4 linked regions of the Yarrowia lipolytica genome follow. Each later gene encodes a partner of the first gene's protein in a complex. Links are inferred from orthologs where the notes say so. Each region holds a gene or a part of one and is shown in the gene's direction. Other genes may lie near its edges.

The links.
Region 2: YALI1_E29617g (region 1) and YALI1_F12422g share a complex: the UniProt entries of both Saccharomyces cerevisiae proteins name them as parts of the mitochondrial large ribosomal subunit. The link is inferred for Yarrowia lipolytica from reciprocal best matches to the Saccharomyces cerevisiae genes MRPL17 and MRPL49.
Region 3: YALI1_E29617g (region 1) and YALI1_C21634g share a complex: the UniProt entries of both Saccharomyces cerevisiae proteins name them as parts of the mitochondrial large ribosomal subunit. The link is inferred for Yarrowia lipolytica from reciprocal best matches to the Saccharomyces cerevisiae genes MRPL17 and MRPL39.
Region 4: YALI1_E29617g (region 1) and YALI1_F39183g share a complex: the UniProt entries of both Saccharomyces cerevisiae proteins name them as parts of the mitochondrial large ribosomal subunit. The link is inferred for Yarrowia lipolytica from reciprocal best matches to the Saccharomyces cerevisiae genes MRPL17 and MRP35.

Annotation. Positions count from the first base shown.
Region 1 is NC_090774.1:2,958,377-2,964,407, forward strand, and holds YALI1_E29617g (mitochondrial 54S ribosomal protein mL46), read left to right. Parts: upstream 1-3,304; coding exon 3,305-4,162; downstream 4,163-6,031. Other genes in the region: YALI1_E29586g (uncharacterized protein), read right to left, coding at 46-252, 748-933; YALI1_E29611g (uncharacterized protein), read right to left, coding at 2,316-2,780; YALI1_E29642g (uncharacterized protein), read right to left, coding at 4,583-5,803. UniProt on the Saccharomyces cerevisiae protein: Component of the mitochondrial ribosome (mitoribosome), a dedicated translation machinery responsible for the synthesis of mitochondrial genome-encoded proteins, including at least some of the essential transmembrane subunits of the mitochondrial respiratory chain.
Region 2 is NC_090775.1:1,240,261-1,245,613, reverse strand, and holds YALI1_F12422g (mitochondrial 54S ribosomal protein bL21m), read left to right. Parts: upstream 1-3,408; coding exon 3,409-3,852; downstream 3,853-5,353. Other genes in the region: YALI1_F12434g (uncharacterized protein), read right to left, coding at 1-2,200; YALI1_F12430g (uncharacterized protein), read left to right, coding at 2,420-2,502, 2,550-2,823; YALI1_F12365g (uncharacterized protein), read left to right, coding at 4,663-5,353. UniProt on the Saccharomyces cerevisiae protein: Component of the mitochondrial ribosome (mitoribosome), a dedicated translation machinery responsible for the synthesis of mitochondrial genome-encoded proteins, including at least some of the essential transmembrane subunits of the mitochondrial respiratory chain.
Region 3 is NC_090772.1:2,161,271-2,166,686, reverse strand, and holds YALI1_C21634g (mitochondrial 54S ribosomal protein bL33m), read left to right. Parts: upstream 1-2,869; coding exon 2,870-2,876; intron 2,877-2,926; coding exon 2,927-3,043; intron 3,044-3,224; coding exon 3,225-3,313; downstream 3,314-5,416. Other genes in the region: YALI1_C21664g (uncharacterized protein), read left to right, coding at 1-174, 225-476; YALI1_C21639g (uncharacterized protein), read right to left, coding at 601-2,730; YALI1_C21626g (uncharacterized protein), read right to left, coding at 3,466-3,806, 3,892-3,955, 4,000-4,077. UniProt on the Saccharomyces cerevisiae protein: Component of the mitochondrial ribosome (mitoribosome), a dedicated translation machinery responsible for the synthesis of mitochondrial genome-encoded proteins, including at least some of the essential transmembrane subunits of the mitochondrial respiratory chain.
Region 4 is NC_090775.1:3,915,242-3,920,904, forward strand, and holds YALI1_F39183g (uncharacterized protein), read left to right. Parts: upstream 1-3,109; coding exon 3,110-3,262; intron 3,263-3,615; coding exon 3,616-3,750; downstream 3,751-5,663. Other genes in the region: YALI1_F39159g (uncharacterized protein), read right to left, coding at 1-670; YALI1_F39164g (uncharacterized protein), read left to right, coding at 1,208-2,041; YALI1_F39176g (uncharacterized protein), read left to right, coding at 2,393-2,539, 2,636-2,743; YALI1_F39199g (uncharacterized protein), read right to left, coding at 4,058-4,741; YALI1_F39236g (uncharacterized protein), read right to left, coding at 5,254-5,663. UniProt on the Saccharomyces cerevisiae protein: Component of the mitochondrial ribosome (mitoribosome), a dedicated translation machinery responsible for the synthesis of mitochondrial genome-encoded proteins, including at least some of the essential transmembrane subunits of the mitochondrial respiratory chain.

The DNA of each region.
Region 1 (6,031 bases):
TTTTCTTGTCTGTCTTGCCCATCCATAAATAATGTCTTCTTCTACCTAAGCAGCAAGGTGGGGAGGAAGCAGAAAGTTGGGGATGGAGTTCTTGATGAAGTAGGTGTGGCCGCAGTTCTCGCATTTCATGGTGCCCTCCACAATGCAAGTCTCGATAAGTAGGGAGTGCAGCTCCTGGAGCAGACCCTGGTTTCCCTCAGCGAACGGCTCGTCGATTTCGGGCTTGACATCTGGTAAAGATTCGTTTCCGAGCTATAATTAGTATTGAAAGGTACTTGGCAGTAGGTCCCTCATAGGAAATGTAGACGGTAGGCAACTTTTGTACACGACATAAATGCAGCCTGTACCAGTCTATGAACACCGACCATTTAGTAGAACATTTTAGAGACAGTATAGACGGTATGTTAGACTTCGTAGTCCGATTTAGACACCATAAACCACGTATAAACGTCCTATGATGTCTGCTGCCGTCTCAGAGCTGTCTGTCGTAGTCCATCCGTTGGCTGTGCGGCTGCCTTTGAGACTGCTTTCGACCATCTTGGACGTCTAGACTCCACTGACGGTTCAGAAACAGCCCGTATACATTATGGAAAGTGTCGAATCCGCCCGTCGACAACAGCACTCTCAAAGCGTCTGTTAGTTGCACAGGATCAGTCACACGCTCTCCTTGATACACCTTCATGTTCTCAAAGCTCTGTCACCGTTCCTATACTCATAATTCCGCCTCATTCCACCTCTTATACTCACATCGTTTGCGACCTTGACAAGAGCAGCCCAATCTATTCTCTCAAGCATGCTGACGAGAAATTCGGGATCGAACTCAGCCTCCTGCTGGACCATCTCCAGAGCAGAGAAGGTCAGAGGAAAGGCGTTTCCGGAAGAAACACATTGCTTGGAAGCACACTGGACGAAATTGCTGGTGAGGAACTTCATGTTGACGAGATGTTTGTGTCAGTTTTCGAGCTGAAGGTATCGCCAATATCGCTATCTCCTGGTATGTATATTTTTGAAAAACATCCAAAATAATTTCTGCCCTAACCCTATTTTGGGAGGTTTGTTATTAAGCGATTTGGGGATGAGGCAGAAAAGAATGTTGTAGTAGCAGAATAAAAGCTCTTAATATAGTGAAATTTGGTCTAATTTTGAAGAGCTGGAGTTCCTCTTTCTAATGGTATAGGTTATAATAACAACTGGTTTATAACTACCTGCGTACTAGCCACAACAACTATAGGTGATTCCAATGAGCCAAGATGTCTATGGTGAGATGTTTATATACTTCATAATTGTCCCCCCTCTTTAATTCATACATCCATTGCCTTTAACAACTCTCTAGAGATCTCGCTCCGACTCGATAGTAGTTTGCACTGTAGCACATCTGTGAAACTCTAAGTTGGCAACCCTAACTACTAAATTACCCGGTAGAAGGTACATAAAAATCTGTGCTGTCTTGATCTGACTTTCTTCACTCCACACTTTTTGGAGCGGAAAACGACGGAATCTCCGAGTAATAAAGTGACACGGAGGTTAGCTGGCGCTACCTGAAGTGTCATCTCGTTAATCGGTCTTTTTGTCGGTTTCCAAGGTGTCTTTCTCTTCGACTGAAAGACACCACCCTTTCTCAAATGGTACGTTTTTGATGATGTTGGAGGCCACGAACGCGTTCGGAAGATGATGCAAAGTAGGGTGAGAAGGCATTTCCCTTCCCTGATTAATCCCAATCCTCTAAGAAGCACTGACGTTTGCTTTGTTTGTGGCATCTTTTACATGTCTCGACTTCTCTTACTAACTTCAGGTATGTTCCACTGTGTTTGCAACACCTTTAAGGATGAAAAACTTCTGTCAATCCCCTGAACTGGATTCCGCAATCAAGAAAATAGGTTTCCAGGATATGACGATTCGTGTCGCCTGATTTTAAACATGGCATCTCTTGTCTTTGTTGTTCCCTACTAACCTTAGCTATAGTAATCTATCCCTTAACTACTTTCTGTGAATGTGTGTGTCTTAAAGCTATTGCTGTCTTATGAGTGTAAGCAGTTGTATCGTATGAACCAGTATCCAGTACAAGTATCGTCTCTGGCGTGTATGATTTTATTACAGGTCCAATACATACATCTTCCCATAGATCGAGAGCTCCAAAGGTAGATTCCATCGACACCTTGGAGGTTGCATTCTACTTGTAGTACGTATATATCAGCTACCCTTTTTCGTTTGCAAGTACAGTTTTTAAGTCTCTACACAACCAAACATCATCTACTCTACAGCCAGCGTCCAAACACCATCTATCAATCTATACCTCGCGTTCTACCCTGTCATAACTACACCCGCTTGATATCCCACTTAACATCAGTGACGGACACCTCCTCACTGTTCTTCTCGTCGTAGTCAAACCACTCGCCCTCGGATAGATCCATCTCCTTGAAAGGTGTGCCAGACTCGCCCTTGCACTGGAAGTCACCGTCGGCTCGGAACTCCTTGAGCTCGAGACCTCGACAGTCGATCTGCAGAATCTCGGCGGGCTTCTTATCGTCGGCGTTGAGAGTTTTGCCTGTCTCGGTGAGGGTGGCAGACGACTCTCGCTTGCAGAAGCGGCACTTGAAGACGAAGTTGGCGTCTCCTCGACTGCCGCTGATGTCGCTCTTGTCCTGGGCGTTCATGGTGACCCAGTTTTCGTGGACCTCATGGCACGAATTGCACTCAATTTTGAAGGAGAACTCGTAGGGTAGCGTGGGTCCCAACTCTGTGACTCCCTGGAGCTCTGCGGAAAGAAATAGACCGAACATCGTGTCCTTCTAGTTGGTGTTGATGATCTAGATGTCGAAAGCGCACCCAAAAGTTTATACGCGGAGGTGTGATGTGATTGAGTGTAAATAAGTGTATGACATACTGGCAGTAATGGAGGTGTCAGATTGGAAGAAACAGTAATGAAATGTTGTATCCAATCTGAGTCTCTATGTTAAAATCTCTTTCAGATCCACTTATTACCTATACAAATATCGTGTGTTGTTGCATGGCTCACTTAGTGCTCAGCTGACTATACAACGCTGACGAGGTACGATCGTTGTACTCGTTACATAATCATAAGACCACTGGACCGCTGTTATTCTCAATACACTATTTCTAAAAAACGGAATATTCTACACTATGTGTGATATGCCCAATACCACATCACACTCACATTTTCCCTCCTTCATTTTATACCACATTGTCGCATCGTTCTCCTCCTACCCTAACCTTGTGAAATTTCAACCGCCAAAAGTTTGCACTGCATACGCTGTCACGATATATCTCACCCGCCATACTCAAGATGATTCGGGCTTTTTCGACAAAAAGCACGGCGTGGAACGCCGCCAAGGAGGCTGTTGCAGAGACCTCCGGCAAGAAGGCCGGACGTCTGACTGCCGAGACCCGGGCCAACATTTCCGGAGGCATGATTCTGTCTCGAATCCCCATCGTCACCTCCGAGCCCACTCCCTTTGCCAAGCAGTACTACGAGTACATGGATGGTCTCAAGCGCCGAATGATGTGGACCTTCCCCTCGTTTCTTTACTTCAAGCGAGGTACTCTTGCTGAGCGAAAGTACAGAGAGCTGAACAAGATCCCCACCCAGGCCCGAGACGGAGTAGTGTACCCCGAGGGTATTCCCGATGTGGTGAATCACCGAGAGCGAACAATGCCCCAGAAGATCGCCGTGCCCACCAAGGACAATGAGGGCTCTCGAGGCGCCAAGAAGGGCACCGAGGAGGGCGAGGAGGATGTGATCAAGCCCAACTCCCGAATCACTGAGGCCGACAAGCAGAACGACGTCAAGTCACTGGAGCGAAAGCTGGACCGAACCCTGTACCTACTGGCCCAGACCAAGAACGGCTGGCGATTCCCCTCGGTCGTTATCAACGAGAAGGAGACCATCGATGAGGCCGCCAAGCGAGGCATCCACGAGCTCGGAGGCCCCGACATGAACATCTGGAACGTGTCGCACACCCCCGCGGGCTTCTTCAAGAACGGCGACAAGCGAGAGTTCTACGTCAAGTCACACATTGTCCAGGGCGAGTTCAAGCCCAGCCGGGACGTGCAGGACTTTGCGTGGCTCACCAAGGAGGAGATCCAGGCTAAGGTCGACGACCAGTACTACCAGCAGCTGCATCCTCTTCTCAACTCGGTTTAAACTGCATCTGTCGACCGACCAACTGAGACCGCACACGAGGAAAAGACTAATGTATATATGTGTATATAGGGGGATGATGATTGAGTGATTGAATGAGTGTACGAGTACTTGTAGTGTATGTTGGTACATTATGACTGTAACATATACCGTAGCTAGCTGTGGTGTTTTAGTGAATGCAATCCGGTTCTAATATTATACTACATACACTTGTACTTGTACCTATACTTGTACTTGTACTGGTTTTATATTCTGTGCTGCAGACGAGGGTGTGGGAAATCCAGTGACTGTCGCACGCTCCGATAGCTAATCAGTATCTGTCAGTATGAGGGCTCGCTGGTTGCTCCGGTGTCATCCTCTCTTTCAAATCTGGCTTTAATGACTAGAGGATTCTTGTCGCACATGCCAGCCCGATTTCGGCATCTAGTAACCACTCGGCCTATTACCTCCTACAGTAATCACATTCAGACCCGCAACGTCCCCAGAAAATGCCAGGTTGTACTTCACCGGGCTCCATGCCACCACTGGGAGCCCTGTCCATCTCGGACGAGAAACAGCATGCACAAATTTTCCAGTGTCCACATGTACAATGTCCACAGGGATATCGTTGTTGTCATACCCGACGGCAATGTAGTCTCCATCATGCGAAAAATCGAGAGAAACGACCGGTTGGTCGTGCTTGGACAGTGTCTTGACACATACCAACTCTTTGGTATCCCACAACGAAACAATGCCTTCATTGCCACCCACAGCAATATAACGGCCTTGAGGATCAGGTTTGACACAGTTCGCGGCTGTTGTGTGTCCTAGAAGCTCAAACAGAGTGGTCACATTAGACGTGCTTAATGATTGGGAAGAAGTAACCACCTTTTCGACCTCTTCAGAAGTAGCAGCAGTCTGGAGATTCAGCTTGAGCAGCTTCACCACACCAATTCCCATTGTAATGGCCATGACAGCAGTTGTGTTTGTCCAAGTTGCCGCGAAAATTTCGTAGGGAGATTCCTTGTATGCAGCAATGGGGTTTCCAAACGCTTCCATTGCACCAATGGCGATCTTGGGTGCCCCTCGCGATCTTTGCGAGTCCTTTCCTCCATTCTGACGTCCTCCGATGTTTGTGCTGGGTGCTGGTTCAGCCACTTCTCCGTTGAAAGAAGGCGCGTACCACAGGATCGCATTGTCTCGTCTTAACACCGATATGTACCGACCACAGGGAGACCACAAGCAGGCTAGATTGTCGGCTCCGGTGTTCACGGATGCAAGCAGCGTTTTTGTTCTTGTGTCCCACACCTTGAGAGTTCCGTCGAGACTGCAAGTAGCGAGCTGATCGGGACTGATGGGAGACCATGCCAGGCCCACTACAGCCTTTTGAGACTTGCTTGAGGAGTATGGGATTTCTGTCGACGTGTTGACCTCGGTATTTCCGGCAATCCATACCCGGATTCGCGCATCGCTGTATGCCACGGCAATTCGAGTACCTGTACTGTTCCAGGCAATGTTTTTGATCGATGACTGTGAAGATGAGGATGCAGAGGAGCCGCCCTGCTTTGAATCTTTTTCTTGGTAAGCAACAACACTCTGGTTCTTGAAGTAGGTCTGCGCAGATCCCACTGGCAGCGATTGCTGAGTGTTGATTGGTTTGCTCATGTTGTCGAGGTACGAATTTTGGAGATGTTACTGCACAGTCAGATATTGGACGTGAACTCTAATGAGGAGCCGAGATTTATATATAGTATGTATTATGTACACGTTGATGGAAATTTTGAGGGGTTGCTTAGTATTATATCAGTTCATTTTCGTTGTAGAATTAGCCTGTTGTCAGTAAAATACTTGGTGAAATCTCTTATCCTGAGAGCCACGTTCTCAGAGCGCCCA
Region 2 (5,353 bases), on another chromosome or scaffold:
CACTCTTGGTGAGGTTTTCCAGACCCAAAAGGGACTTGACCTTGCCGGCGTAGTCGTAGGTGATCACATCGGTCATGGACGGAAGCTGAATGTCGATAAAGTCGGACGGGTAAATGTCCGTCTTGATGGCCCGACTGAGTGTATCCTTTCTTCGAGTGAACATGAGATCGTGTCGGAACACCTTGTTAGCCATGAACTCGGAGCCAATCTTCTCTGCTCCAACGGTGTTAATCACATCCACAGCCGAAATCACATGTGCCTTGGCCTTGTCCTCGCACTCAATCACCGCAGATTGAAGCTGGGCGACAATCTTGTCCATGGTGGCCTCTGCGTAAGCGTACAGGTCAAAGTAGGATGAAAAGGCGGGCGACACAGTGGCGAGCTGCTCAAACTTGGCTGAAAGACCCTCCCGAGTCTCGTAGTAGGCCTGCTTGCAGCAGTCCTCGAGAGTCTGGTCCACCTGGGTCGAAGCAGAAGTTGAGTCACTGATAGACCGATCGTACTGAGGAGTGATCTGTTTCAGTTGAGACAACAAAATATCCTTTTGTTGCTGGGAAACAGCCTTGTTGGCGTGAACGAGTTTCTCAAGATCGTCAAGAATGTGCGTGAGATAGGTCTTTGCGGGTGAGAGTTTCGAAACAGACCGCTTTTCAAGTACAAAGTTTCGCAGAGACTCTTCCAGGGCGTCGAAATCGGCGTCGGACATGTCGGGATTGTTGTTATCGGGGTCGTCGTCGTCACCAGGGCCATCATCGGGGCCAGCAGGGCTCTTCTCCAGCTGTCTGGAGGAGGAAACGAAATGCACAAACTCCGAGGCGTCCTTGTGAGTAGCAGGAGACAGTTCCTTGACCTGGTCAAGAATGCGCTGCTTACATCGCTGCTTGTTTTTAATAGTGTCGAATCGGTTCACGACAATGAAAACATACGACTTTTCTCGAGCAGCAGCAGTGATAAACTCCTTGGCAGAAAGGGTAAAGTGGTTTTCGGCAGAAACGACGAAAATCACAAGATCAATCTCCTCCTGACGAGAAAACACTTGGGTGGTCTGGTACGAGTCCTTGTTGAGTCCCGGAGCGTCAATCAGCGAAATATCAATCACTCCGTTGTGCAACAGCGACTGGGTGATGGGTCTGTTATCTACGGTGTAGATTTTCAGAATGTGGTATCGGTCCACCTCATAGACCAGATCCTCGAGGTCGCCAAGCTTGTGCACCTCGTAGGAGGCCTCCGAGTTGCGGTTGTACTCCATTCCTAGTGGCACCGCATGAACTTCCTCCACATTGTCGTTTTCCCGCGCGTCAATCACCTCACAGAAGACGTTAGTACAGGGCTGCTGGTCTTCGGGCAGCAGATATCTTCTGAGAAGCGCGTTGCAGAAGGTCGACTTACCCGAGTTGACATCTCCGGTAATGAGCACCTTTGAGGCGGTATCGTCAATACGAACTCTCAAGTTGGACAAGTGCTTCATGCACTTTGTGATTCGTGTGTCGATGAGCACGCCTAGGGCTTCCTTGTCAAACTCGTGCACGTCCTTGGACGCTTTGGAGTCATCCACAATGGCGAGCTTGAAGATGTTGAACTCCGAGTCCACGGTGGGCAGTTCGTCGAACCCCTCAATGTAGCTTTGGCGTCTGTTCTGGGGAGCAGGAGTGATGTCTCGGGGGGCCTCGCCGAATATACTAACGTTCCGTAGTAGCTCGTTTCGGGGGTCTTGGATCGCCTGTAGGTCTGGAACCGGTGAGCTGTGTCTGGAAGAGGTGGCTGTGGGGGGCTGAGGGTTTGCCACTGGGGGGTAGTAGACCGGTCGGTCTCTGTTAACGTCCTGGAGCTCCCGTAGGATGCCCATCACGGCCGAGATACTTCGACCTAACGATATCCGGTTCTCATTGTACCGAAGCTGGCTCAGTTGGGCTTGTTGCATCTGGCGAGTCTCGCCACTGAGCCGTCGGTGCGAGCTGTCTGCGGCCTCCAGGGTCGAGCCATCAAACACAATGAGCTTCGACTTGTCGACCAGCTCGTCGGTGATGATGCTGCCGGACACAGAAGGCGCGTATCCCGAGTCATGGTCATTGGACCCTCTTCGGTGGTAGTTGTCGCTGTTGGCGTTGGAGTTGGCGTTGGCGTTGGACTCTCTGTTTCCGTCTTTACTGCTGCTGGGCTCTTGGCCCGGCGGGTAGTCGTACGGGTCTCTGTCGGACATGGCACACACGTTTCGAGGATATCCGTCTGATTTCAAAAGATTTGAGATGGTGAGTTAGCAAGTTACCCGGGAGAGATATTGGGACTGTTTAAGTTAGTTGCATAACTACAGTAAGTTGAAAGTCAACTGAAGAACCACTATAGCAGTGATGGGCAACTGGAAAAGGTGGCAAACAGAGACCGGGAGATCACGTGGGGGGCGGGCGGTCACGTGACCGGAATGGACGTTTCACAGCGCGCCCCTCTCCTTCCGTCCACATTCAGCTTTCTGTACTCTCTTTCTCATGCTGACGCTTGCAGTTGGTATCCACGTAATCAGCGGCTGAGATCAGGTCATTCGAAACAGCAAGGTTTCAGGAACCATCAAAACATGTGACCATACGAGGAGGTTGTTCTGGGGGCGTTTTGAGTCATGTGAGAGAATCAAAATGGCATTATTTGTTGCTAATTGAGTGGATATGGCACTATTTTCGTCTTGGGTTCTTTTTTCCCCCAAAAAAACGCACAATTTATCTCCGTCGGGGCTCTGATCTCGGGCGCATCGGATTTAGCAATGGCCTGTTTGGGCCTAATTTCGAGTTGAGTCGTAATCCCGCAGTGATGGTATTTTTTTTCTCGCAGTGATGTATTTTTTTCTTTTTTCCCCTCTTTTTTTGAAATAAACAATTTAATTGATAATTGCACTTGGGGTAAAGCAGATGTTAGAGGAGATTCGGGTTTTTATTGGTGGCTCTCACAAAAAAAAAATTCTTTTGAATTTTCGTACCTCCGTCTCCAATTAAATTGACCAATTTGCTGTTGATATCGGCTTAGTAATGTATGTCTTAGTTGGAATATTTAGTTGAATGATTAGTTTACTGAATGCATCATATTTTATGTATTGTGTATAAAAATATATATAATATGTTACAGTATATACAGTATATGTTATAAAAAAATACCCTAAGAAAAGTGAGAAAAAAAAAAGAAGAAAAAAAACATTACATTAACCGTGATTGCGGGTTCGATCCTCGAGCGCTAGATTATATCACATGCTCCGATTCTAATAAAACAAGACAATTCCGCCCCAAATATACGCCGTACATACTCGGTGGTATTTTCGTCTCTTGAATCCCCCCATTCACCGCCCCGCTTACATCATGTACCAATCTTCCAACTGAAACTTTTTCATACATACATCACCACTTCACACAACACCACACAAACACAATGATGTCGCTATTGAGACAGGTGCGGCACATGTCGACCGCCGCCAGCGCGCCCAGCGGGTTCCTCAAGGTGTCTGCCGAGCAGATCAAGCCCCTGCTGCTCGCCAACCAGCACATTTTCGCCAAGGTGCACATGCACAACAACGCCTACCTGGTGACCAAGGGCGACCAGATGCGACTGCCTTACCGGTTCAAGGGCCTCAAGGTGGGCGACGTGATCAACTTTGAGCACGTGAGCCAGATCGGCTCTCGGGATCACGTGTTCCAGGGTGACAAGTACATTTCCCAGGACCACTTCAACATCAAGGGCGTTGTGACTGCTCTCACTGCTGAGCCCATGACCACCCATGTTCACCATCGAATCAAGGACAAGGGTTACACTCGGACCCAGCGAAAGGTGCCCCAGACCATCATTCGAATTAGCGAGCTGGAACTCAAGGCTTAGAAGAGGAAGTTGAAATTACGAGTGGAGCGAGTAATTTGGTTCTTCTGCGTTATGTATATAGGAATGCATTTATTGCGTAAAGGAACGACACCGGGCGACACAGGTGCTACTGTCCAACGAGCACTGGCTATCATGTGCAGTTGTGGGTCGTGATCTACAACTGAGATCAGTATGTGAATGGAAGGCAACAATTGAGGTTGTAGTGAGGTCATTATATAGTGGGGGTATCGATAAAGTGTCTGGAGTTGAAAAGTTGCAGACGAATATCTCCATTTGGTATTTTGCTTGGTACGGTGAATTGATGATTGTAGCCATACTAGGTACCAGTGTGACTATGGAGGATGGGGGATCTAAGAGGGTCTAAGATCTAAGGTCTAGATCTAAGAAGGTCTAAACATGTTAATAGAGGTCTCTACAGATGCTGAGATACACGTGTCTAGTCACCATCTTCAATTACCGGTCAAATACTCCCCAATATCTCTCCCTCACTTCGTCACCAAATCTAAACAAAACAGTTGAGGATTTATTTGACTCGGTTGTCCCAGTTGGGTGCGGCTTTAACGAAGAGAGGACGGATTAATGTGGCTGAACTTGCTCCAAAAGTGACCTTTTTGGAACGGGGAAAAACGGAATTAACTCATAACCAGATTTATGACGCTTTGCACTCTTCACTTTCCCCCATAATCTCCTTCAACCCCCTCAACCTCTCTCGTTCTGACCCCGATAAACTTAAACTCCCTGCAAACACGAGACCACGCACTCCAGCATCTCACCACTACTTGTACAGTACAAGCACCCGTACACGGAACCATGGGCGAGTTCCATATCAACCTGATTCCGACGTACGACGACGCTCATAATCTCACGGACGATCTGCAGTCCGTGTCGTCGTCGCCGTACTCGGTGACCGTGCCCAAAAACCGACTTCGTTCGCGCAGCGACTTGTCTGAGGTCGCAGACCGATCTGTGTCCACTGGAGCTCTGGAGCGACTGGTTCCGAACCCAAACAAGATCCGCGTCGACCGACGTGTCGTGAGTGATACCAATGGTGACTCGAATGCCAACTCGGGTCCCAGTCTCACGCACCATCTTTCCCATGCCAATCTTAACACTTACAACAACAACAGCAGTACCAACAACTTGCAGACTCCGCAGAAGCTCAAGTCGTCTGTTTCCTACTCTTCGCTACATCGCACACCCAACAACAACAACTTTGACACCTCGTTCCAGTCTCTGCAGTCCGAACAGTCGTTCCATACCGCGCCGTCTCCAGACGGAGTGCTGTCGTCAAGTCCTAACGAGACCAGACTCAAATTCCAGAAAAGCAGAGACATTTTACGCCAGGGAGCCCCGTCTCCCCTCAATCTCACGCCGGGGAATAGATCTGTGAACGCCACGTCGCCTCATCCTCCGACACCTTCGGCATACTTGTTTGAAAACGACTCCAGCCATAAGAACCAGGAACAGCCGAGTAAACAGAGCCCGATCCAGTACTCGTCGC
Region 3 (5,416 bases), on another chromosome or scaffold:
CCGCAACTTCTATGGAACTTCCGACGTAAGTCCACGAAGGGATGGTCAATTGTTTCCATTTTGTGTGATTTCGGAGGAGGCATTTTATCGTTGGCACAGCTAATCTTGGATGGTTATATCAATCACGATTATGAGGGTATCTTCAAGAATGTGCCAAAGCTTCTATTATCATTGGTAAGTATTGATTTCTACCGAGACCTGCAGAGCTCTCTCAACTAACACAGATCACGTTAATTTTCGACATCATGTTCATGCTACAGCATTACGTCTGGTACAACGACAGTAATTTCCAAGTAAGTCCAGGAGGCATAGAAAGCCAAAACCACCACTACCACAATCAGCATCATCGTCATCATCATCATCATCATCATCATCGCGAGCACAGCAATCACCACCGCCCATCCTCGCAGAGATTGGGCTACGGTTCTGTGAGCGAAGACAGCGAAGAAGAGCCCAGCCGACTGATGCTGGCCTGAATCGGGGGAAACTAACTTAGCTACCAAAGGTGGAGTAGGTACCTCCATAGATTAGAAAGACAATGCGCTTCTCAAGTTGAACTTGCGTGGTGTAAATGGTGTTCGTGTATATTAAGCTATGTTGTCATGCCCTTCGCCTGACGACTGATTTCACTGTGGCACCATCAAGGTGTGATGGCTTGAAATCCCTACTAGAAAGCAGTCCAGCACTCTCATAGATTCTATGATACTCCTGGTCTTGCGGCAACCCCAGGCGAGTCCACATTTCTCGGACATCACTTATGAGTTGTTGGCCACCAGCTGCAGAAAATGTATTCACCATGATAACTTGTCGAGAGAAATACTCAGACAAAACCTTTGAGAAGTCCTTGAGGATCTGATACATGTCTTCTGCAGATAGACACTTCCTCATAATTCCAAGATATTTGTCCATCGTCTGAATAGGAAGAGACAGCTGGGAGCTGGGCGGCACATTTTCGGGGTCAGGATAATCAACGTTCTTGGACCAGTCGTTCAGCTTGAAGTATTCCTTCATTCCATCCTGCATTCGCTTCTCCAAAAATGCCTTTGCAGTCTGGTACACACGGTCCTGTAAAGACGTATATCCTTTGATGGTGTCATCGAACAGGGTTCCCTCGTCGCTTTCATCCGTGGGTAGCGTAGCGGAGGTCTGCATGGCATCATTGTCGATACCACCTTCTTTTCGCGAGGAGTTGTTGAGAGAGGTTATATCGCGCCAAAGTTCCAGAAAAAAGACGTCCTCACCCCAAACTTGGAGGGTCTCTATCATGAACTTCGCACTTCCAAAAATTCTGCACACCCTCCAGATACCCTCTGATCCCCCCGTTTTCTGTTTATCAGCGGCTCCCACAAGAGCCCTCGACAATAGAGATATGTTCGATTCCAGAAGCAGATTTTGTTCATGCAGTTGCTCGTGATAAAGATCCAAAATTGTCGTCTGAATACCTATCAAGAACTTGAGTCTGTATGTGACACTAGCCAGACTTCTGTAGTGGTCAGTGACACCCTCCAGCAGATCTTTGACCATTAGCGCACTCTTCGTTGGTTTGGTCGCACCTCTTTCCACGCCATCAAAGTCAATTTCCCAAGCGTCGGGAAGCTGAATAATAGCGTGAAACCGCGAAACCGCAAAATTTCGTTCAACATTGAGCCAAATATCAAACCTCGAAGGCGTGAGAATAGACCCTGAAATTCCCACCCAGTTTCCTCTGTTGGGGCTGTAGAAATAACGCTCTTTAAGAGCGGTCTCAAACACTACTGTTTCGTAGAGGAGATGGGATAGCTCTGTAGATGTATCACGGAGAGCATCGAACAACACCGAGGCTTTGCGGATTGCCGATGGAATCAATGCACAGATGAACTCATTGAGAGCTACTTTGTCGCTGTCACCCAACAGAGGTTGCATGTGTTCCTGCAAGAAGTTTTCCTGCTCCTCAACAATGTCTAGAAAGTAAGAATAAAACCATTCAGGCTTGTCAGGTTGGTTCGTATCTTTGTTTCCTTCGAAATGGAACCGTAATCTGATATCATAAGGCGCAGTCAAAACCAAGAAAGCCTGCAGCGGCACCCCTTGGGGGTCAGCTGTCGACTGGGTTCTAAGAGAGCTGTCAAGGAATATCATTTCTTCTAGAGTCGATAGCAGCCGTTCTGATGGCTGAAACTCCTTTGAAGGGTACTGGCAGTTCACCAGCTCCTCTTCTGCCTCCTGCGAAAGTCTTTGAAGCTCAGTGTGCGCGGACCTCTGAAGCTTTTTCCTCCATTGCTTATGTAAAGCTTCCACCGCAGTAGGAACATCTCTGCGGTTCAATTCCAGATATTCTTGAATTGCGCTTTTGATCCTGGCACTTGAATCGGTTTCCGTTGAAGTGTTGTAGTTTTGTTGCAAAGACAGGAGGTTGCCGATGTGGTGTTCAGAGGATGCCAGGTTCTCGGCTTTCTTGATTGCAGTCTGTACATCCTTGTTGGTGTCGACCAGCTCATGCTTGCTGAGGTCTTCCAGTGCCGCAATGATTGATTTCTTGTCACCCTCTTCAACCGAGTCGTGGACTGCCTGTGCATGTTGTACAAGCAAACTGGAGGCTTCATTGTGTGCTTCAGTGATGTCAATGTTCAACCGCTCCTCCTTCTCCAGAAGCTCGGATTCAAGCTGGTCCAAAGACTCTAGATCGGCCAACGTAGCAAATTGCCCATCAAGAAACAACTTCCCAGATATCTTCCCAATATGACCGCTCATGTTCTGTGTTGGTGGTTTTGAGTTGTGTCCGTGATGACAAACAGGCCAATCTGGTATGTAACCTTAATCCCGCTTAAAATTATCACACGCATCTTGAACCACCACTTGAATTTGACATCAGATCAGAAGAGAACACAACATGGCTGGTAGGTATTGTTGGCGCCCACAGAAACCTCCCCCTGCTTTACTAACACAGTACGAAGCAAGAACACTGTCATCAAACTCTTTTCTTCGGCGAAAACCGGTGTCATGCGAACCGTTTTCCGACCTCGTGTGGCTCGTCCCATCACTCAAGTGAAGTATGACCCTATAGGTGAGTTACTGGAAAGATGAGGCTGTCGAGGGCTGAGACCCGTTGCAGTGGATGAGGTGATCGCAGTGGTGTCGCGATGCAGCATCGGCTAGTGGGTGTGGCACTGGACGCTCGATTTCTCGTGATCGTCTCCATGAGATCGTGGTCCCAGAGAGCTGACCACGCCAGTTTACTAACTCAGTTAAACGAATGGTTCTTTTCGAGGAGACGAAGACCCGACGAGGAGCCGTTGAGCCTCGAGGCAAGGAGCCTAAGAAGTCCGATGACTAAGCCATGATTTGTACATAGTTAATTATAGATGTGAAGAGGTAGGATGCTTGTATTTCGTTGTACTGTGACTGGGTCGTAGTTTGGTGACCATGCCCTCTGCGTGATAGGTTAGGGATGTGTGGCTGTACGGTGTTTGCTCTCCATTCCATGTGCTATTGTGCAAATGGGTTCGCGTGAATGCTCACACTCCTGATGAATACAGGGGCGACTGGTCGATTCTTTTTGTCTACCTCAACTCCTTCGAGTTTCACTAGAGCGTCCTCACCATCGATCATTTTCCCAAACACAGTGTAATTGCCATCCAGACTCAAGTGCTTGTCGTAAGTTATAAAGAACTGGCTTCCATTTGTGTTGGGGCCGGAGTTGACCATGGAGAGTATGCCTCTGGAGTTGTGTCGCAGCGTCGGCTTGATTTCGTCTTCAAATTTGCCGCCCCAAATCGACTCCCCGCCTTTGCCTGTACCTGTGGGATCACCCATCTGTACCATGAATGCTTGCGTTAGTCACTCTCTCAGAGGTTTAATGGCACCTAACATAATAGAACGTCGCTTCAGGCTGTATGGTGTGGTTTTACTCACTCTTGATGTTCCTGTGTATCTTTGTTTCATCATATGTGCCCGACGCGCACAGGGCCAGGAAATTCTGTGTTAATAATTGCACGACCACACTGTCACAGTGCCACTCACTTTTGCAGCCTTCGGTACAGCCTCGCAAAATACTTCGACCTTGATATCACCGGCATCCGTATGAAGAGTTACGGACATGTCTGATGAGTTTCGTACTGGTGCCGGTTCTCGTATTTGTAAGGTTATTGGTACGAGTACAAGTACAAGTACATTGTAATATACACTACAGTAAATGAACCCTATAGCTTCATGCTGGATCCCAATATTACACCCAAGTAGCATGCATAAGCTAAAAGTAACTCGCAGCGCACACCGTGCAGATTCATAAGTCTATGATTAATTGAACGCCAATAACCCGGCTTACTACAAGTACAAGTAGGTATACATAGCGGTAATGAATCATTAGAAAAAAAAAAAACAAAAAAAAACAAAACAAACTGTTGTGGATGCATCAACAGTAGTACATAGTTGTACGATGTACTTGTACTTGTAAAAGCAAAAATGTACAATATCTCAGGGAGCGCAACTTTTACGTTCGAAGAACAATGTACCGCGTACCGCATTCTGGATTCTGCGGAACGTCTAACCTGGAAATACGATTTTTTTTTTCTTTCATTTTTTTTGCTTCTTCAAAAGTATGGTAATTTCCTACCATTACAGTTGACACTGAACGAGGGGGGATTGAATTTAAGCAAAAAATTAAATCAAAATACCTTTATGTATCCAGCCCATGTAATAAACAAAAGGATTATATAACAAGAAATAAATATATACCTTTAATGGATCATTAGAATAAAAATAATAAATACGAGAAGCACACCAGAGAAGCTTTTTGATTGCCACTATACCGCTACTTTGGTATATTCTTATTATAATTGTTGAATTTGCAAGATAGAATGTGCCATTCATTGGAGAGAAATCCAAGGAATATGTGGGATGAAATGACTAGAAGTATGAACAATGAGAATAGTACATACTTGTACCTGTATTTCTAGAAGAGAGAAAGACAGTTGAGTGTGTGATTCTCGTCCAATAATAATCTCAATAGTAACGTGTGAATAGCTGTTCTTTGATAGTTGATATTTCTCGATGACTATTTATGTTGTACAAGGGATTTTTTTCGTTGCTGTTGATTTCGAATTAGGCAATGCAGATATCATTTATGCTATCCATATTTAAGATTTCCCATACGCATTTATAACATTTATTCTACATAAATTGTTAAATGAACGAACTGCCATTATAAATTGTTTCCTAAATAGGAAGTGTTTTTCATAAAGCAAGTAAGTTGTCTAATAATACTAAGTAATAAAAATAAGTTCATACAATATATTTTGAGAACATCATTTGGAGGCGGTAGATGGAGTCTGTTTATTATTAAACAATATTATATAACACGATTTTTTTAAATTATTGGCCCGAAAATTAATCAGTGTAGACTGGATCACCTTACAATATTGTGTTAGAAATATAATCT
Region 4 (5,663 bases), on another chromosome or scaffold:
TACGAGCATATACTCCGGAGGGCCCCGAGTTGTTGTTGGGTTTCACCTTTGCCCGTGGGTCGTGCGTCTGTGGTCGAGGAGCCACCGTGGGCTGTTGTGGCCGGTGACCGAGACCATGTCCTATGCCTGCATTCTTGTGGAAAATGCCCCGGGTGCCTGTACTAGGTGGAGCCAGTCTAGCTACTGTGGCAACGCACACCTCGGCTGAGGTGTCTGGCGAGTCTAGAGACACATCTCCGTCTTCCTCGGCGTCCTCGAAGCGGTCCAGGTCTGAGTCTCGAAGTGTAGATGTGGAGGAGGAGTTCTGTAAACTCTTGTTATGCTGTGTAGTTGGTGCAGCCCGTTGTTGGGCATGTGTTGTTGTCGTGGTCTGATGATGTGTGTTGAAAGGGACAGGGCTTCCAGAAGGCTGTCTGGGCTGGTTCAGCTTCTTCTCTGGAGTCGACGTGCCCCCGGCGGCATGCAAAACGTCTTCGGGGATGCAATAGCTCTCGCTGGCGACGGTGTTGAGCGTGGAGGACGAGTAGTTTGGCACCGCTCTCATGAAAGCTCTTCGGCGCTGTTCCGACATGACAAAGGACTCATCACGGGTCATTTCGTAGTGCGACGTGTCGTCGGCGCCAATAACGAGGGCGGCTCCCACGGTTTGGGCCATTGGTCGTGATGGCATCTTGGTTGGGGTTTACGTCTCGTCTCTTCAATCTGCTTGTGATGATTGACACTCTCACTGTTTTGGATTCAGAGCGCGAAACGCGCCTTTAGGTTTCAAATGCGATGAACAGAGTTGGTTCCCCTACCTTGAATCGCTGGGTGTTAAAACCAAGTCGTATAAACCACCCTGGCAGGTGTTGAGAGAAGAATAGGTGAGACTCGTATGTAGTATGGGAGAGAGAGCTCAAGAGGCATTATATCATATAGCAGGTCTGGCACTTGACCTGCAGCATCGCATCCTGCAGGAATCCATCACCTGGGTCTTAGATTATTATTCTCCTTCCCATGCAATGTTGTGGTTGTATTTTGAAATGTTATTCTGAGACTTCTGTCATACCCTTTTGAGAAGTCGGGGTTGGGGTAGCCCAGAACTTGCCCAGAACCTGAATAGCCATTTGGGTCACGCGCCAAGTGCAGCAGTCATGCACTAACGTTTAGTTCCTAAAATTTCAAGTGCGTTTTTCAGGCGCAAAAAATAAACTGACCAAGCTCTATAATGCAGCGACTATTGAAAAAGGCACTGAAAAACAGCGCAGCGGGCGAGGCTGGAGCACCACTGGAGCGCACCGACACCCGCTCCTCGCACGAAACGCTCTTTGACGACAACAAGTCCGCGGTCTCCACGCTGTTTGAAACCCCTGAAGGCGACCCGCGAGAACGGGATGTCTACAGCATATACTCGGCCATGTTTCGACATGGAGTGACCGTTTTTGACGATGGCCTCAAAAAACCCATTCTGTCTGTGTCCACGCATTTCTTCGGCAAGACCTACATGGAGATTTACCGGCTGGACGATAAGCAGAGCCCAGGTAGCGAGGCTGTGTCAATGTCTGGAACCGAGTGCTACAAGTCGCTTCTGTGCAGTGTGACACAAAAGGTACTTGACAACGACCGTATCGAGTACATTCTCACCTTTGTGGACAGCGAGCGGGACAACATCACCATGGTTACCCATGGAACCAGGCGGGTGACTACAGCTTCTTACGAAGGCGTGCAGTTGCAATGGTACGGAACGACGGGCATTGCCAACACTTATGGCTCTGGATTCTTTCATCTGCGGCTTGTTGACACCGAACATACTGAGAGACAGGGTAATGTGCTGCCAGACTCAGACACCCTCTGTGGTCCTTGCATAGGAGCCTACAGTTATCTGACTGAGGGCAGACTGAAGAAGCAGCGCCGGGTTGGCGAGTTTAGCATTTTCAATGGTGGCACTCATCTTTCCGAGGTCATCCTACTCATGGGACTGGTTCTGCGAGAGGGAGAGATGCGAAAGATAACGGAAAGTACACGAGCTGCCAATGCTGTCACCAGCAAGGTGTTTTTGTAAACTGAGTGATGAAAACGGCATGGTTGAAACAATAGTTTGGTAGCTACCGTGATGAGCTCCGTCTCTTGCGACAACCAGGATAGCAGCTTGGGCGGGAAAAAGAAGAAGAATGTGGATTGTGGTGGCTTTGAGTGCCTTCCGCCGATAATGTGAAACGAATTTTTATTATTAATGAGTAAGACAGACAGACTAATATATCTGAATACTATGGTTGGTTGCCTAGGGTTGTGTGGATGGTCGTTCCCGTTCAGCTCATGGCCGAATCAGGTATACTCGCTTACATAATCATTTTGGGTTGCATACAGGCATCTCGGTGAAGCATGATTTTCGACTTTACACTCGACCGTCACAATGAACTCCTTTGCCCCGGAATGCACTAAAGCCAAGAAGGAGTACGACAACTGCTTCAACAACTGGTACTCGGAGAAGTTCCTCAAGGGAGAGTCCATGGAGAACGAGTGTGCCGATCTGTGGCACGAGTACGAGGATTGCGTCAAGGTGAGTAGGGAGAGGGAGAGGGCAGCCTGGAGATGAATTAGGATCGATTCAGGAGATCGGTACCCGGCGTACCACTCACAGTATTTACTAACCCAGGCCGCTCTTGCCAAGAAGGGTGTTGGAAAGATGATTGACGAGGCTCGAAAGCAGGCTCCGTTTGAGAACGGCGGCAAGCTCGTGGAGGAGGATGAAAAGAAGAAGTAAATGTATATATTAATTGAACGATTCTGCTGGCCAAGATGTGAAAAAACGAGTTTCTCACTTGTATCAAGTCTGTGTTAGTCAGGCTTTTCTCTGTAAGTGTGCAAGGGTGTCTGTGAGTTACGGGTGAATTTTTTTAAAATCTAGTAAAAGGATGAAGTTCGACAGATTTTATAGGGAAATCTAAACACTTTCTAACGATTTATAAAAAGTCCTCTCGCCGCAAGAAGTCATCGGCCACCTTCCAGTACCCCAAACACACCTGTGTAAGTCACTGCAAGAAAACCTCGCCACGTGACAAACAAGGTTTTGCAAAATCGTCGGTTGGAATATCAGACTCTATCACCACACATACACGACCATACAAAAATGCTGTCTCTGATTCAGTCGCTACGGCCGACTGTGGCCATGAACAACGTGGCGCAGATGTTTGTGCGAAACACTTGCAAGTCCGCCCATGTCAAGACCAAAAAGGCCGTTGCCAACCGAATCAAGATCTGTGGTAGTGGAAAGATCACCAGAGTGAGTGCCACAAGGATGGAGAGGAGGGGAAATAAGGAAAAAGGAATGCTGGGAGCGACTCCGATCAAGCCATGATAGAGTGGATAGCTGATATTTCAGTGCCGGAAAAGTTTTGCCTCTGATCTGATCATGGCCTTATGTTACACAGCTTTCAAGCTGAGATGATTAACTGTTTCAGCAGCTAGAAGAGATACCAGACACGGAACTACCTGTCACAACCAGGCTGATTACGCACACTGCGTTTTTTTTGTTTTTTTTGTTGCTTACCAGGCACTCAGATCAAGCAAGACACTCATAACCTCTTGTAGCTGAACACATCAACAATGACAACTTCCAGATCGCCACTAACTCAGGGAAAAACCGGACGAAAGCACGGAAACACTGGATGGTCCGCTGCTCTGCTGCGAAAGAAGACCGGTATGACCGAGCTCACCGGTTTCCAGAAGAAGCATGTCAAGAAGTACGTGCCTTTCAAACAATCCCCTTAATGTATATAGCAATTAGAACCCTCTTGGATGCACGAGAAGTCTGTACAGTACAGACGGATACAAGTTCGTAGTGCACGTACCGAGCTGTTTAAATTAATTGATGTATTTTTCTGTATAAGATGTAATCATTGCATACTCTGCAAATAATAAATAGGGCGCGCGGGGTTTAGATCACGGTTTTGATGGGACAGCTAGGCCGTGGGTAGGTACAGCACTTGTACTCAGGCCGTGGTGGAGACGCGGTACTGCGAAAGTACCAGCGATATGAATGTCGTAAGTATCATACTACAATTGTAGCAGAGGGGGGTTACTGGCCAAGCAACAACCAACCAATAAAATAGACACCATAACCCATCATTTCAACAGCATCCACAGGGTTAAGGCTGGACAGACCAGAGTCCCACTCAATGGCAGACTCACGAGGAGCATACTCTTGTCGATCTGAAGAGGGCTCGTTGGCCAAAAGACCGACATTTTTTTCAGGCACAAAAGGCTTGAGCTCCTCGCCAGTCAACCAATAATGGAGTCGATCTCCAAATGCTGAGGCGTTGGACTCGCGGTTGCACTGTTCAATCACGCTTGTCACTAATTGTTGTTTGTCGGCGTCACAGATATCGAGCATTTGTGTTTCTTGAGAGTGTTTTCTGATTACAGCGGACCCAGGGGCGCTTTTTTGATTATATATAGCCTTACAGCCTTTCAGAGACTTTCGTCGCCATGCAACAAAGACAGGACCAGTAAGGTTGTTGAGTGCACGTGACCTCGGGTCCACGAACGTCATGGGGCAAAACAAGACTATTGCAACATAATTATAAGGGGTAGATGCAGCTTGCGAGTTCCCCTCCTGCTTGCTACGTGCCAGTGCAACCTCTGGCGTGTTATTCTTCCACATTTGCTCTTTGTGGCGACCAGTAGCGTGTAATAAACATTCTGGGGTAACTGTAAGCGCTGATATGGAAATGTACGATACGATAGGGTATGTAGGGTCCATGTAGGGTCTTACAGATAGCTTCAACAAGTACTCGTACCAGGCGCGATACTGCAATAACAGTGGATATTTCTCAACAAATCTACTGTAGGTGACACACACACTCACGTCTGCGTCTCCACATGACAAGCATCACTGTTAATCTATGTTCCACTTGATTATGGCTTTTGCCACCAGGTCTTGTTGGGTCATGTCTTGTGTACTTTTAGCTCTCCATATAATAAATATATTGGGGTAATCCTCAAGGTGGAGAATGTGGGGTGCCTGAATACATGGAGTGAAAAGTCGTGTGACCAGTTGTCGTTGGCAAGATGATAAGATCGGTGATGAGTCCGAGCACTTAATTGCGCGGTAGTGTATTGTTCTACAAGTAGCACAACATGTCATACTACGATTACTACAGCCTCACTCCACACTACATAACGTACAGTACTGTACTTGTACCCGTGCCATAGACTACAAACAATAACACCTCTGTAACTAAACATGCAATCTATACATTTTTGGGTCTCTATTTACTCTTGCTTTTCAGCCTCGTTCACCTGCTCCTCGACATTTTCATCGCTCTCCTTGACTCGCTTACCGTCCTTATAACTGTATCCAACCCACTCATTGCCCTCCTTTTTGATCTCCGCCGTGGGGAAGTAGTGGTAGTTCATCTTCATGGAACACGCAAACGCCACGTTGTCAAACGTGACAATACGCAACTTGACGTAGGTATTGTCAGGGATCTTGGTCACCACAGACAGGAACGTCTCCAGATCAGGAGTGGCGGTGCCGTTCACGTGAGTGATGAAGTTGGTGGGCGCAATCAAGTACTGGTAAGCGGGAGATCCCTGGGCTCGACTGGACACGTAGACGCCCGAGTGGATCTTTTTGATTTGCTGACGAACAGCATGGTGGGGGGTCTGCAGAACAGCTCCGC